2 linked regions of the Tamandua tetradactyla genome follow. The protein of the gene in region 1 interacts with the protein of each later gene in a pairwise test. Links are inferred from orthologs where the notes say so. Each region holds a gene or a part of one and is shown in the gene's direction. Other genes may lie near its edges.

The links.
Region 2: the proteins of hypoxanthine-guanine phosphoribosyltransferase (region 1) and ISCU interact in binary tests that used the Homo sapiens proteins (3 or more experiments, as listed by UniProt). The two-hybrid records come from large-scale screens. The link is inferred for Tamandua tetradactyla from reciprocal best matches to the Homo sapiens genes HPRT1 and ISCU.

The regions. Positions count from the first base shown.
Region 1 is NC_135353.1:27,487,922-27,495,137, reverse strand, and holds the start of hypoxanthine-guanine phosphoribosyltransferase, read left to right. Parts: upstream 1-4,200; 5' UTR 4,201-4,364; coding exon 4,365-4,391; intron 4,392-7,216. UniProt on the Homo sapiens protein: Converts guanine to guanosine monophosphate, and hypoxanthine to inosine monophosphate. Transfers the 5-phosphoribosyl group from 5-phosphoribosylpyrophosphate onto the purine.
Region 2 is NC_135331.1:22,830,509-22,837,790, reverse strand, and holds the start of ISCU (iron-sulfur cluster assembly enzyme ISCU), read left to right. Parts: upstream 1-4,239; 5' UTR 4,240-4,362; coding exon 4,363-4,476; intron 4,477-6,806; coding exon 6,807-6,920; intron 6,921-7,282. Other genes in the region: SART3 (spliceosome associated factor 3, U4/U6 recycling protein), read right to left, coding at 2,652-2,966.

The DNA.
Region 1 (7,216 bases):
CCTCCTCAGCTTCCTCCAATCCCTGCCGCAACTCCTGCCGCAACTGCCGCAGCACCATCTCCAGCTCTACGTCCACCTCCTCCTCCGGCTCCTCTTCCGCTGCTCCCTCCAGCGCCCCCTGCGGGGCCTCCTCCACCGCTTCCTCTAGCGCCCCCTGCGGCGCCTCCTCCACCGCTTCCTTCAGCGCCCCCTGCGGCGCCTCCTCCACGGCCTCCTCCTGCGCCGCCGCCGCCGCCGCCTCCTCCTCCTCCTCCTCCTCCGCCGCCTCCTCCTCCTCCTCCTCCTCCTCCTCCTCCTCCTCCTCCGCCTCCTCCTCCTCCTCCTCCTCTTCCTCCTCCTCCTCCTCTTCCTCCTCCTCCTCTTCCTCCTCCTCCTCCTCCTCCTCCTCCGCCTCCTCCTCCGCCTCCTCCTCCTCCTCCTCCGCCGCCGCCTCCTCCTTCTCCGCCGCCTCCTCTTCCTCCACGGCCTCCTCCACGGCCTCCTCCTGCACCGCCGCCGCCGCCGCCTCCTCCGCCTCCACCACCTCCTCCTCCTCGTCCTCCTCCTCCTCCTCCACGGCCTCCTCCTGGGCCTCCTCCACAGCCTCCTCCTGGGCCTCCTCCACAGCCTCCTCCTGGGCCTCCTCCACGGCCTCCTCCTCCTGCGCCTCCTCCTCTGCCTCCACCACCTCCTCCTCCATGGCCTCCTGCTGCGCCTCCTCCACAGCCTCCTCTTGCGCCTCCTCCTGCGCCTCCTCCACCGCTTCCTCCTGGGCCTCTTCAACAGCTTCCTCCTCCTGTGCTGCCTCCTCCACCTGCACCTCTTCCACCGCCTCCACCTGCGCCTCTTCCACCACCTCCTCCACCGCCTCCACCACCGCCTCCACCTGCGCCTCCTCCACCGATTTTACTGCTCTCTGTTCCTTTGCCGCTTCCATTTCTGCTTCTACTGGCTTCTCCTCTACCTTTACCTCCTCCTTCGCTACTTTCTTCTCCTTCAGGCCTTTCTCCTCCAACTTCTTCAACGCCGCTTCAGCCCTCTCCTCACCCACAGCCTCAGGGAAGATGGCGTCCGTTTGAGACGTCACTTCCGTGGCCTTTGCCCCGGCAGTCACCTGACACTCCTGACACCTCCCTCACCCCCATTCCCCTTCCCCTCCCACGCACTGCGGGTTTTTAGGGCTTTCTGCCCAGCAGGGCCCTGCAGCTCGTCACCCTGAAACACATTTTTTAGGCTGATGCCGATTGCCCCGTTATTTTCTTGATTTCTTTAGTTTTAAACAATAAAACTTTCAAAGAAGTCTGAATTTCAATTTTACATATGTGCTGGTTTGAAGCTGTAATGTACCCCAGAAAAAGGCCATGTTCTTTCAATCCATTCCTGTGGGTGCAGACCTGTTGTGGATGGGACCTTTTGGTTCAGTTATTTCAATTGAGATGTAACCCACCACGTTTAGGGTTTGTGGTAATCCTTTTTACTGGAGTCCTTTAGGAGTGATAAAGGATGGAAAAAGCCAAGAGAGCTTAGAGAGAAAAGCTCTGGAGAAGCTAAGAGAGGACCCACAGAAGCTCAGATAGGAGGCCACTGGAACCAGAAGCCGAAAGCAGTGAAGCCCAGGAGAGAAGGACCAGCAGACCACCATGTCCCGTCCCATGTGACAAGAGGTATCCCAGATACCAGCAGCCTGTCTTCACAGTCTAGGTATCATCCTGTTGATGCCTCAGTTGGGATGTTTTCATGGCCTTAGAACTGTAAATTCTAAGTGAATAAATCACCATTGTAAAAGTCAATCCATTTTTGGTATATTGCATTCCAGTAGCTTTAGCAAACCAGAACAGCATATACGAATCAAAATATTGCTTACCAAACAAAAATAGTACATCTTGCAGTTTGCACTCTGTTCGCTATTTAAAATTTAAAACACAAGCACTCTAAGTGGTCACATAGCACGACAGGATTGAAATAACAGTTCTTTTGCCTTTATAATGACTATTTAAAATTTGCTGTTGAAATGCAGGAGTGTGTGGTACATCAGAGCACTGAGAATGGAACTGCAATTCCAGAAACAAGCTGGAAGAATTCTGACTGTCCCAAGTAGGTCTTAATTCTCTTACTGGAGTCCTTTATAAGAGATAACATTCATAGAAGCACACAGAGAAGCTGAGGGAGAAAAGCCAGAGAAGCTAAGAGAGACCAAAGCTTAGAGAAACAAACAAACTCAGAAAGAAAGCCACTGAAGGAGCAGCCAGAAGCTGAAACCCAGGAGAGAAGGACTAGTAGACCTCAGCCATGTGCCTTCCCATGTGGGGGTGGGGTGGGGCTCCAGATGCTGGCAACTTCTCTTCAGAAATAAGGTATGGTCCTCTTGATGCCTTAATTTGGACTTTTTCAGGGCTTCAGAACAGTAAATTTTTTAAGTTAATAAATCCCCATTGTTAAAAGGCAGTCCATTTTTGCATTTCTGCAACGTCAGCAAACTAAAACAGTACCTAATTTAGAAGCAAATACAGGTAATGAATTTGCATGTGTCAGGGCTAACTGGACAATGGGGAAGGCTCAGAATTAACTTCCCTGGAGAACACAATGTTAATTAAAAGGAGAAGTAATAAAAATGTGTTAACTTGAACTTCAATGCCCCTACCCCATAGAAATGTACTCATACATTCACCAGAAGACACATAGAGTGTTCATAGCAGCAGCGCTATTTTTTGTAATGGTCAAAACCTGGAAAATGCCCACTAACAGGAGAACGAATAAGAAGGCTTGGAGGCTAGAAGGATGGAGTGAAAAACTGATTAAGGCAAAGATATGTAGCTCGTAACACTGGTATTATCACTTCCTGCAGCAAGCACTATGCTAGGCACTTCTGCATGTATTATTTTGTTTAATCCTTACCATCCGCTGTGAAGGAGATATAATCCTCATCTAACATATGAGGAAACTGAGGCACTCAGTGATCAAGATTCCTGGCTGAGGTCATAATTCTAGTATGTGAATTCCAGAAATTCAACTCAGATCTTTCTCAGTCCAAAGTCCACATGTACCTTTCACATTTTGTGGCCTGCCATGGATCTCCTTGATAGACAGGGAAGGCAGAGAAACTTGGGAAGTGTGGCGTTCATAAAGGCTAAAATGATAACAGCTACAACTTCTCAAGCATCTACTCCTAAGTGGCAAGTACGGTGGTAGGTGCTTTACAGACATGATTTTTATGAATTCTTATAATAACTTGTCATGGTAGGAATTATTCTTCTCAGTTTTTAGATGAGGTTCTGGGGCTCAGTAAAGTTCTCCATCATGTATGTTTCACATCCTTGTGTCCTTAATGGGGCGGGGGGGGGGGATGGTGGTGGGTGACACACCGTCTAATTATGCGCTGGGCGCTCTGCTGGGTGCTGGAGCTATACAGATAAGGACCAGCGGAATGGTGACACTGGAACAACTGTGGCTAACCTGACCTTTTTGGGAATAGGGAGGATTTTTTGCTTTTCAGTTCCAAGTAGGGAATTCCGGAGGCAAAAATAATGATAGGAAATAGCAATGTTTCCCACTTACTGAGTGTATTCTGTCCTAACGACTGTACTTTACTGCTCTCTCAAAACATCTACATCTACATCTCATCCGCTTTCACCCTCACAACAACCCTCTCGGTTTTCACAGCCTTTTCACCCAGGACATAAAAGAGCCTCAGAGAATCTAAGTGAGCCCAAGGGTTACAGAGCAGTTAAGTGTCCTCCCTCTCCCACCTCACCCCGGGACCTGTACCCTGATATGACTAACTCTAGGGTTCCGGGTTTTAACCCTTACAACCAGTTAAGGATTTCGAGCCACGAGTGAGGAAAATGGAAGCCGCAATGTAGTCCACAATCTTGGCAAAGGTTCGCCTGGCGGGAGGAGCCCTGTGGTAACTCGACCCCGAAAATTCGGCGCCCAATTTGGGTTTTGGGGGTATGTTTGGAAATCTCAGAGCCCTCTGTATAAGAGCCTGAGGAAAAGAAGGGAGAAGCTACGCTGGAGGTGGGGGTGGGGTGGGGGGAAAAGAAGGGAAAAGCTACGCTGGAGGTGGGGGTGGGGTGGGGGAAGGTAATTCCGCTCCTTCCGGTCGAAAATTTGCGGGGCCGCCACGTGAAGGTGAAACCAGTAGCCGCAGGCAGAGGCGCGGGAACGCGCAGGAGGGCGTGGGGGGCGCAGCGTCGGGGCCGGGGCGGGGCGAGGGGCGGGGCCTGCGCTGCCTCAGCTCCGAACGGCGGCGGTAGCGTCTGCAGCGGTGACCTAGAGCTTTCCCGCGAACCTCTGGCCTTCCCGCGCAACGCCGTCTCCGCCTCCGCCTCCATCTCCTCCTCCTTTTCGCTGCCGGCTTCTTTTTTCCTCCGCCAGGCTCCGTTATGGCGACCCGCAGCCCCAGTATCGTGGTGAGCAGCTCGCCCGCCACCCCTGCCCGGCCCAGGCCCACGCGGCTCGCGCCCAGCGGTAGCGACGGCGACCCGGCCCTGGGGCGCGGGGCCTGCAGTGCGTGTTTGGGTTGGAGTGACCTGGGAAACCCTGGGGGCGGAGGGCGGCCACAGCTTCCCCGATTCAGCCTTACGTCACGCGAGGGCGAAAGGGGGAACGGAATGGCGGGGTCCGGGGTGGGTGCCTCAGCTCAAGAGCCCTGGGAAAGAGGGCTGCGTGGGAGAGGAGAGGGCAGAAATGGCGATCTGGTTGACATGTGCCGCTCCCAAGCGTGATGTTGGGCGGGGCCAAGGGCCAATTCGGGAATGAGCTGATGGGGTGGAGGGGGGGGCTTTCGCAGGAAAAGCCTTTCTCTTGATAAGTTTAGGGTACAGTGGTGAGGTCACTGTAGAGGGGCCTAGGTACCGAAAACGACCACATGAGATGGGATGTGGGTATTTTCATTTCGTTCTGCAAACAGTATTAATATTTGTGAGGCTGCGCATTGCCTCATTGAATCCTCTCAGTCTTGGCAGCGGTAACCATGCCTACCAATTTTTCACGTGAAGTACCCAGTGAGAAGATACTAGGTAATTTTCCCATGGTCCAGAGATAACCAGGCCTCGATACAGACGTGCCTGAATCTAGATCCCACATTTTTTGATGCTGTGGGGATACAAAATGCGAATCTGGTCTTCGGCTGCAAGGTCATACATATCATAACCATTCTCTGGCATCTTGTCTTCAACCCCCTTGGTTCTTTTTCTTGTTTTTCTGAACCCACCAGGCTCTTCTCCCGCCTTTCCCCTCAACACCTCTGATCCTGATTACAGAATAGCCACCACGCCCCCACCAGTTAAAAGCCTCAGCCTGTTTGGCTATTATTATTGCTTATTTTTGTGATTACCTGTCGATTGTCTCTCCCACGGAAACATAAACTTCAAAAAGGCAGGAATTACCACTGTAATTCCAGCACATAGCTCAGTGCCTGGCATGTAGGGCATAATTTGTTGAGTGAGCAGATTAAATACTTAACCATTTGAGCCCCAAGAAAAAGAGGACTCTGTTTTCTATTAGGCGTTGTGAGTAGATGGCGAAGAGCAGTACTCCTAGTGAATTCTGGCTTGGAATTCTGTTTCTTTGGGCCATTTATTATTAGCTGTGTGGCATTGGGCAGATTACTTAACATCTCTGGTCTCCATTTTCTTTATGTATAAGTGCGGTATTAGCTACCTTATGATGTTATTGAAAGGATTTTAAGCCCATCTATGTGAAGAAACACTCTTGCACTGTATTGGAAATAGCCATCACTGTGTCAAGTCCTTTATATACAGATAGTCCTATTTAACCCTGAAAATAACCATGTAGTATCTGTATAATTATTCCTATTTTACAAATACGGAATCTTTGGAGCCTCAGAGAGGTTAGGAGACACATCCTAGGCACACATTTATTCAGAGAAGTTGATGGGACTCAAACCTTATGTCCTTCTCAAGAGTCCGTGCTCTTAAGTATTATGCTAATGTAGGTACCCAAAAAAAGGCAGTCTGTTGTTTTTATTCAGTTGTCCAGGAAGTTAGATTTCAAGTTTATATACTTTTGGATGCTTTTAAAGCTCTGGGGGATGATGCCTGCCCCAGTGTATAGTGACCTAGTGATGATGTGATAAAACTGAGCTGTTGTTTGTGCTTTGTTTTTTGTTTGTTTGGGTTTTTTGAACATAAAGCTGTTCATTGTGTTTTCAGTTTGCAAATTCTTTTTCCTTTTTTTTTATTTCCTTCCCATAAATTGTTTGCATGTTAGCAATAACAAACACTTAAATGTGCTTACTAAATGCTGGGCACTGTTCTTAACCCTTTATGTATAGTAACTGATTTGATCTTCATTAAAAATGTGTGCAGCTCAGAGAGGTTAGGTAACTTGTCCAAGATCACCAGCAATTCTAGGATTTGAACCTAAGTTATTTGGCCCCAGAATCTGCTCTTAGCCTCTACACTTTTAAATTATTAGTGACAATAGTGAATATTATTGAGTACTTCCTATGTCTTAGGCATTGAGATAAATATGTTGCAGACATTGTCTACTGTAAGCCTCCCATGAGGTATTTATGAGGTAGATAAATACTTTTATGATCACAGAGGCACAGATAAGTGAAGTAACTTGCCGAAAGATCACTTAGATCATAATCCACAGGGTTTAGACTGACATTTGTCTAGAGGTATAGAACAAAATTATTCTTTGTGACCACCAAGAAATGGAGCAGTAAGGTTTGGGAGTTTCATTCTGTGAATAGAGTGCCATGACATACACACTGCAGATCCTTCTTAATTGTTTTCTGTCCATTATTTGTTTCTGCGTATTGCAGGAAGTCCATAGAGGTGGGAAAAAGAAAAGTAAATCAGCCAGGTGAGCAGCGAAGAGGAATCTTGGAGTTTTCATTGAGTTTTGGTAGTTCTTTAGGCAATAACTGAGCCATGTCTTTTATTTTGCCCTGATGTGAAGAGACACTAAAGGTGTGCTGGTGTACTCTTCTACCTTTTTGTAATGGCATATTGTGTGGATTCACTAAGTGTCAACCTCCTTTGTTAATATCAGTACTGAAATTTACATTGGGGCAAGGGGTGTGCAAGGGTAGTTCAGTGGTAGAATTCTTGCCTGCCATGGCAGGAGACCCGGGTTCAAGTCCTAGTGTATGCACTTCCCTTGAAAAACAAACAAAGTAAACAAAAACAAACAAAAAATTCAGCATGTGGAGCCGCAATAACAGGATACTCACATGGAAAAATAATTAAATGTGACCCTGCTA
Region 2 (7,282 bases), on another chromosome or scaffold:
AGAGGGGGCTTAGCCAATGTACAAAATGATCCACTGATGTCCTAACTTCCTAGCAGTGTGAAAAGTACTGATCTGAACCTAGAATGAGCGTGGAGAAAAATGAGAGGCGTGGTAGAAAGAAAACAACTGGTGCAACCACAGGAAGAGCAGAGAAAAGAGAATGGAACCAACCTTTGTATAGCAGCTACTATGCATAGCAGAGCCAAACTGGGCAATTTTACATGCATTGTGTCACTTAACCCCCATTAAAGCCCTGTGAGAGGCATTACTACAATCTCCTTTTTACCAACTGGGATAAAATAGGCTCAGAGACTTGAAATAACTTGTCCAAGGTCTTCTGACTAGTAAGTGGATCACCTGATTTGAGTATAGTTTGCAAAGCTATACTCTTTGTGCTGCACCATGGTACACTGACAAATGTGCTTAAGGCACGAGGAGGTGCTACTTTTAGTTTCAGCCCAAAAACACAACTAATATAAAGTCTTTGTTTTTGTTACATGAACAGATATCACAGCAAATCACAAGCCTGCATAAAATAAACTCAAGAACGAAAACTGGAATACGCAGATGTGGCAAGGCCAAGATCTGCACCGCCCTATTTGGAAGTTACTTGTCATTATGCTCTACTATAAGGGCAGTTACAGGAGGAACTAGAGGCTGTGGGATTACAATGATGTGGGAAGGAGGTATGCAAATATTGGAAAAATAAATTTTTAAAGCCCAAGATAAAGAGGATAAGGCCAAAGACCCTTAGCTCACTATCACTTACAAGGTCGCATACTGTGTGGACACTTTCTAAGCTCCATACCAACCTAGGTGAACTAAAGATATAAGTCAGGCAGGCAACTGCACAGCATCCACTGCCAGCATACCTTCACTCTGACCCCTCCTCCCCATTAGTAAAACTGTGCACGATCAAGGGCTTCATATCCATTCCAAGCCTTCCCTTCCTACTAAAACAGGTGATCCTCATGTAACAGTAAGGTCAAAGTGAGCTGGCTCATCAAAAGGCCCAGAACTAGAAGTTTGAAGAAATTATTTCAATGTAGGCAGGGAAACAGTCAGCCTAGCACCCAGAATCACACTGTATTTGCTGAATGAATAAAAGACTGAATAAACTGCAGCATATTTATTTATAAAAAGGAAAATTGTTAACTGCCTTCTAACCTCTGGTTGGTTCCTTTGACAATGAGATGCAATGATAAGTGGAAGAAGATAACCAAAGAATATCACTGTTTCATAACATAAAAATATCAATGCCAGAGGGAAAATTATCATTAACCTTACACTCCATAAGATTAAATGAGTAATCTAGGTTAATAATCTTCATATCACAGAGAGATTTCACATCTAGTGTTGCATTTGATCCAGAGGCTACTTTGAAAGCTTCTGAATAGTAACTCACTTTATCATTTGTTCTGAGCCTCTGTTTCCTCATCAGTAAAATGAAATGTGCTCTATCTCTTCTGTTTCTTCCTCCAAATTCATCCACCCTCTCCTCTGCCCTGCCCTGTGCTGACCACATTAACAGATTCCCTAGCCCTCTAATAATCAGGTGAGTTTGCCCAGCAGGAAGCACCCAGCAGACTTTCACAGGGAGGAGAGAGAGAGACAAGGGAGAAGGAGGCCAGGGTATTTCTTCCCCTACCCCAACTCCTGCCGGGAAACTGAGGCTGCATCTCTTGACCAAAGGTCTCAAATCCTCTCAGGTTCCCTCTCTACCCATCTCTTCTACATGTCACTCCCCTTGCCCCTTCAAGTCTAAAGGTGGAAACAAAGTCCTCCTATTATTAAATGGTACTAAACTTTGCTCCTGATTTCCCGGTCCACACTTTTATAAATGCAACCGTCCCTTTATCAACCTTTCCTCAAATTATCCTAACTTGAGTGTACCATCTATTTCCTGCTGAGACTTGATTTATACAGGAGATAATACCACCTACACCTCCCAAGACTCTTCAGAAATTAGCAATCTGGTTGACATTGGCTGCCAGGCACTCGGCTATCATAACTGTCATGGCAATGCTAAGATACAGAAATTGCCACTCCCTATTTACAATTCAGGAAGCAAAGACTCAGAGAATTTAAGAAAATCGCCCAAATGATAGCCGGAACTGGCGCCTTTAGCCTTGAGAGCCAAAACTTCTACCTTCCCATTTCTGTTGTCATGATTACCGTGAATATTTTTCCTACTACATCATATTTCATTAATGCTGTCCTTCCTACAGGAAAATTATTCTCTCTTACAAATGAGATTTATTGTTGCTGTTGAACGCAATTTAACTGTGTGGTTAAGAATGAGAGTTCTGGTGTTGGTTCAGCGTTCAAAGCCTGACTGGCCACCTGTAGGACATGAAATCTTGAGCAAGAGACTTCCCTCCACAAGCCTCAGTTTCCTCCAGTTAAAACGAGAATACACTATTTCCTTCACTGGGTCGTTGTTAGGATTTAATGGAATACGCTTAGAAAGCGCCCCACACGCAGGTAATGCTCAAACGATGGCGCTACGGTGACTGAAAAAGAGTTACTGCGGCCTTGGGGGCATTACTGCTGCGGACGGGAGAGGTACCCGAGCAAGCGCAGTCGGACGAGGGGCGAGCCCGGACCCGGGTACCTGAGGGAAAGAGCCCGCTGCCCACCCCCGAGCACACCTGCTCCTCCAGCCGCTCGATTTCCAGCTGGTTCTTCTCCTCCTCTTCGTCGTACTCCCACTCGTACTCCCCGGGGGAGCTCTCGGCTGAGGAAGCCATGGCGTATTCCTCGTCTCCATCGCTCTCACTCACGCCTTCCTCCTGCTGATCCCACTCTGGCCCCATGGTCTTGTATGTCGCAGCGGCCACAGCCCGAGATAACACCTTCCTCCTCGTCCTCGTCGCCTTAGCCTCATCCTCCTCTCCCTCAGCCTCGGGCCCAGCCTTGAGCTCAGCCTCCGATTCTGAAGCCGAGGTTGCAGCCGCCGTCGCCATTTTGTGCCTCGGATAATTCTCGGGTCTTCGCTCCGCCGCCGAAGACCGACGGAAGTAGAAGCTGCCCGCGGCGTGCGCCTGACCAAAACCCTGCTCTCTCGCGATCGAAAGGAAAGCTGTGAGCCTCGAGTGACAGAAAAATCTCGAGATACGCTCAATTAATACTATTTTTATGTACTTATAAAAGCTCCCATCACAGAAAAGTCTCATTAATATAACATGACTTTCGTTACAACTTCGGACAGAAGTTGGATGTTTGGACAGGAAGTGGGGGGGGAGCAATGAGGTTGTGGCGCCATCTTGAGAAGGTCAAAGTAATTCTTGGAACGGAGACCTTACTAAAAGTAAGGTCTGATATGGCTCGTTGTTTAGTCTCCCCAGCAACCGAGCCCCAAACGCGGAGAAAACTCCACGTCCTCCGGGAAGGATAGACTGCGCTACTCGTGAGAAAAATGCATTGCCCGAAACGATTCTTCCCCTTTACGTAATGCGAATACTCCTGAGTCTAGTTTTAAAAAATCATATTCTGCACATCTAAAATATTAATTAAAATAAAAGTTAATACCAAGCATTAATTGAGAAACTCAGTTGCCTGGGATTACCATATACATTTTGTTGTTTGCGGTTATTTTCTATATGGAGACTATATATTATATATATGTATACATGCTTTTTTTTAATCAGGGCATGGTGTTCGTTTCTCTAATTAAACTTCCCATTTTTGAGGTAGTAAAGTATTGACGTGTTTCCTTGTTTATTGTCTTGAGCAAACATGTTTTGCTTTTCGTTGCATTCCCAAAGCCTGGTATGGAGACTTAACGTACGTAGTCAACACGTATGTGCTGAGTGGATGAAAAAATTCCCCTTAAATCAGAACAGATGACCAAATCATAAAGACCTGATATCATTCGCTTAGAGTCACAGAGACAGGAAGACGCAGAACCAGAATTCTAACCCAGGACTGTCTTTGCTGGAATCCCAACTGTATACCTAACTCTTTGAGCGAGTTACTAAACCTCTCTGAACCTCAACTTGTTTGGCTGCAAAATAGGTTAGGAAAAGTGGATCGGGTGATCTGTGCATTCCAGCGGTGAGCTTAGCCAGCTCAAGCTTGGGCACAGCGTTCAAACCTTAAACCCGTTCCTGCATCCAGAACCCAACACGAAAAACAAGATCTTATAGTAACTTCAGACCTTCCCGCGCCCCGCCCCGCCCCTTGGGGGGGCGTGGCCAAGGTAGAGCCAAAGAACAGACTGGGCGGATTGGAAGTGCGCAAGCGCGAAGATGCCGGGACGTAAAGCGACGCGTCCTTGGATCCGAAGTCCCGAGTCAAGTAGGCGGCGCGCTTCGCAGCTTCAGACTCGGTGTGGGCTTGCGTTAGGGGCGTCCCCGCAACATGGCGGCGGCCGGAGCTGGCCGTCTACGACGGGCTACGTCGGCCTTGCTACTGCAGAGCAAGCGCCTGCCCGCCCGGGAGCTGTCCGCCCCGGCCCGGCTTTATCACAAGAAGGTAGGAACGAGTAAAGGGGTGCACAGGGCCCGCACCGGCCGGGGAGTGTAAGTGTGAGGAACGGAGAGGGGACGGTGGGGGGGTCGTCCCCTCTCCCGTCTTCTGTCTCGACTAACTTTTCCTCGCTGCGCAGTAACACTAACCGCAATACAAACCAAAATAATAACGCTTACAATAGCGGCTACTTCCTGTGGGCCTCGCAGCTGACTGCTGTTTAGTGCGCCTTTAAACTTCCCAGCAGCCCGGGTGGGCTACACCCCACCGCTAGGGATCCACTTTAGCCAGACCACTGCCCTAGCTAAGTGACCTTGGGCGAGTCACTGCCCCTCGCTGAACCTCAGTTTCCACACTCATAAGATAGAGGTCTTAGCAGTCCCCTCTTACAAGAGATGATGCTTGTGACGTGCTCGGTGTGGTGTCTGGCTCTTAGGCTCAACATATAAAAACTATTAATGCTGCTGTTGTAGTAAAATTATCTCAGGTAGGCCTTATGGAAGTACTGGTTTCTGCCTTTTTGGAGCACACAGCCTCCTGTTGGAGTCAGACGTGTCACCAATAATCATGTTTTTGTTTTTGTTACGTTTTGGGTTTGGGGCCGGGGGCTGCGAAGTTTGCAGCCCTGCCTTCTGGGAGTTTAAGGTATCTTAGAGATGAGACTTTCACTTGGGATTGGGATAAAAAAGCAAAGATTGCTGGCATTCAACATATGGCAATATCCAAATTAGATATTATTTTGTGGGTCCTTGGGCTTAATGTTAAAATCCGTGGAAGGATAGAAGAGGGAAGAAAACAAGAAGATCAAGACACTTAACCGTTATTTAAGCCTTCTGTTTGCCAGTTTGAATGGACATTTAGTCTGGTTTCTGCATATTTGCCCACAGCTCAGGATTATCACACCGCACACACACCAGTGTTTTTTGACAGTACACTCAGTGAATTTAAAGCTAAAAGCTTTTCAGCCACCAGGGTGCACTGTTTAACCAGCCTGATTTCAGAGTGTCTACAAGTCACGTGGAAACTTCTGGAAAGGACTTCAATTTCTGAAACATAGTTACTTTAGAATTTTCTAATTGTAATCATTATCCTTTAAGAGTGGATTTTATTTTGAAATAACAAAAATGCTGCTTGAACCTAAATTGATGACTTGGATGGGTACAAGTTGAAGTAATCATTTGTGATTAAAAACCTTAATGGAGAGTGGGTTACCGTGGCTCAACAGGCAGAGTTCTCACCTGCCATGCTGGAGACCTGGGTTTGATTCCCAGTGCCTACCCATGCCAAAACAAACAAAATCTTAATGAAACCAAGACATGATTTAGGTGATTTTTCTCCAGTATCTCAAACAGAATCTGAAGATAGGAGTGGAAATACGAAAAGACTTTGGGTCATGAATAAAGCCTTGTTGACATGAGTGTAGACTGGTATTTTTACAGGTTGACTGCCAGGTTGCAGGCCTTGTGCCAGTCTTTGAGGGAACACGGATTAGTAAGATTCAATTCCCTACCTCCTGGAACTTAAATTCATGTCGAGGAGACCAGTATCAAGAGTGATCCCCAGGGATGAGCCTGGCCCTAGCACCATGGGATCAACAGTGCCATCCTGACCAAAAGGGGGGAAAGAATTGTAACAAATAAGGTATCAGTGGCTCAGAGAGTTCAAATAGAGTCAAGAGACTACTCTGGAGTCTACTCTTACCCAAGCCACAGCTAGATATTGCTATTTATTATAGTTTGCCAATCCCCAACCAAACCATTCCTGCCCACCCTAAAGAACACCTAAAGCATTATATAAGATTCTACAAAGGTACCATGTACTATGATTACTTTCCAGAAACCTACAACCTCCAGATGGGTTCCTAGGCCAGATGATCCTGAAAGCAGAGGGGCCAGCCTCTCCAGATCATCAACTAATTCCATCCCCCAACCCACATTATTTACAGCCCTTTCCAACATGAAAAAGTCAGAATATGCATAGCTCAAATACCCCTAAAGATTGGGAGAAAGATCAAAGGAGAATGTGGAATTATAACAGAGAAGATAGGACTTACTAAGTGAGCCAGACTGCTGAATCACTATACTGATATTTCTTTTAGTCTCCAATGCCTTAGAGCAGCTAAAAGGAAAAACTTAAAACTGTGGAACTTCAACCCATACCAAACTCTAAAATCTATTCTATAACTAATTGTTGCAGTGTGCTTTGAAATTTATTGCTTTTTTGTATATATGTTACTTTTCACAATTAAAAGAAAGAACAAGGGATTAGTTACATAAAGTATGTCATAATCAAAAAGAAAAAGAGTGATAATGATTCTCTTAACCCTCTCATTTCAGGTTGTTGATCATTATGAAAATCCTAGAAATGTGGGGTCCCTTGACAAGACATCTAAAAATGTTGGTACTGGCTTAGTGGGGGCTCCAGCTTGCGGTGATGTAATGAAATTACAGGTATGGCTGGTTTTCATCCTTAAAGGTAATAACGTAATCCCTTTGTTTTTACAGTGCTTTGCAGTTTAAAAATCATCTGCACACACAGCGTTTCATTTGGTCTCCATTTTTATTCCTGCGAGATGGCACAAGTTGATGTTATAAATGATTAGAGCAGAGACTGAATCTTAGTTCCTCTGTTTGTATGTCTGACCTTTTCTGAAATAGTAAACCAAACTCACCTTTGTACTCTTAATTTCAGCTGCAGCTATGTAAAAAGTTTTTTGAATTTTACTCATCAAAGGAAAACCACAACTATTTGGTTAGCAAGCCCCAATCCAATAGGGCAAGAAATGCAAAAAATCATACCTCTCCCCAGATTA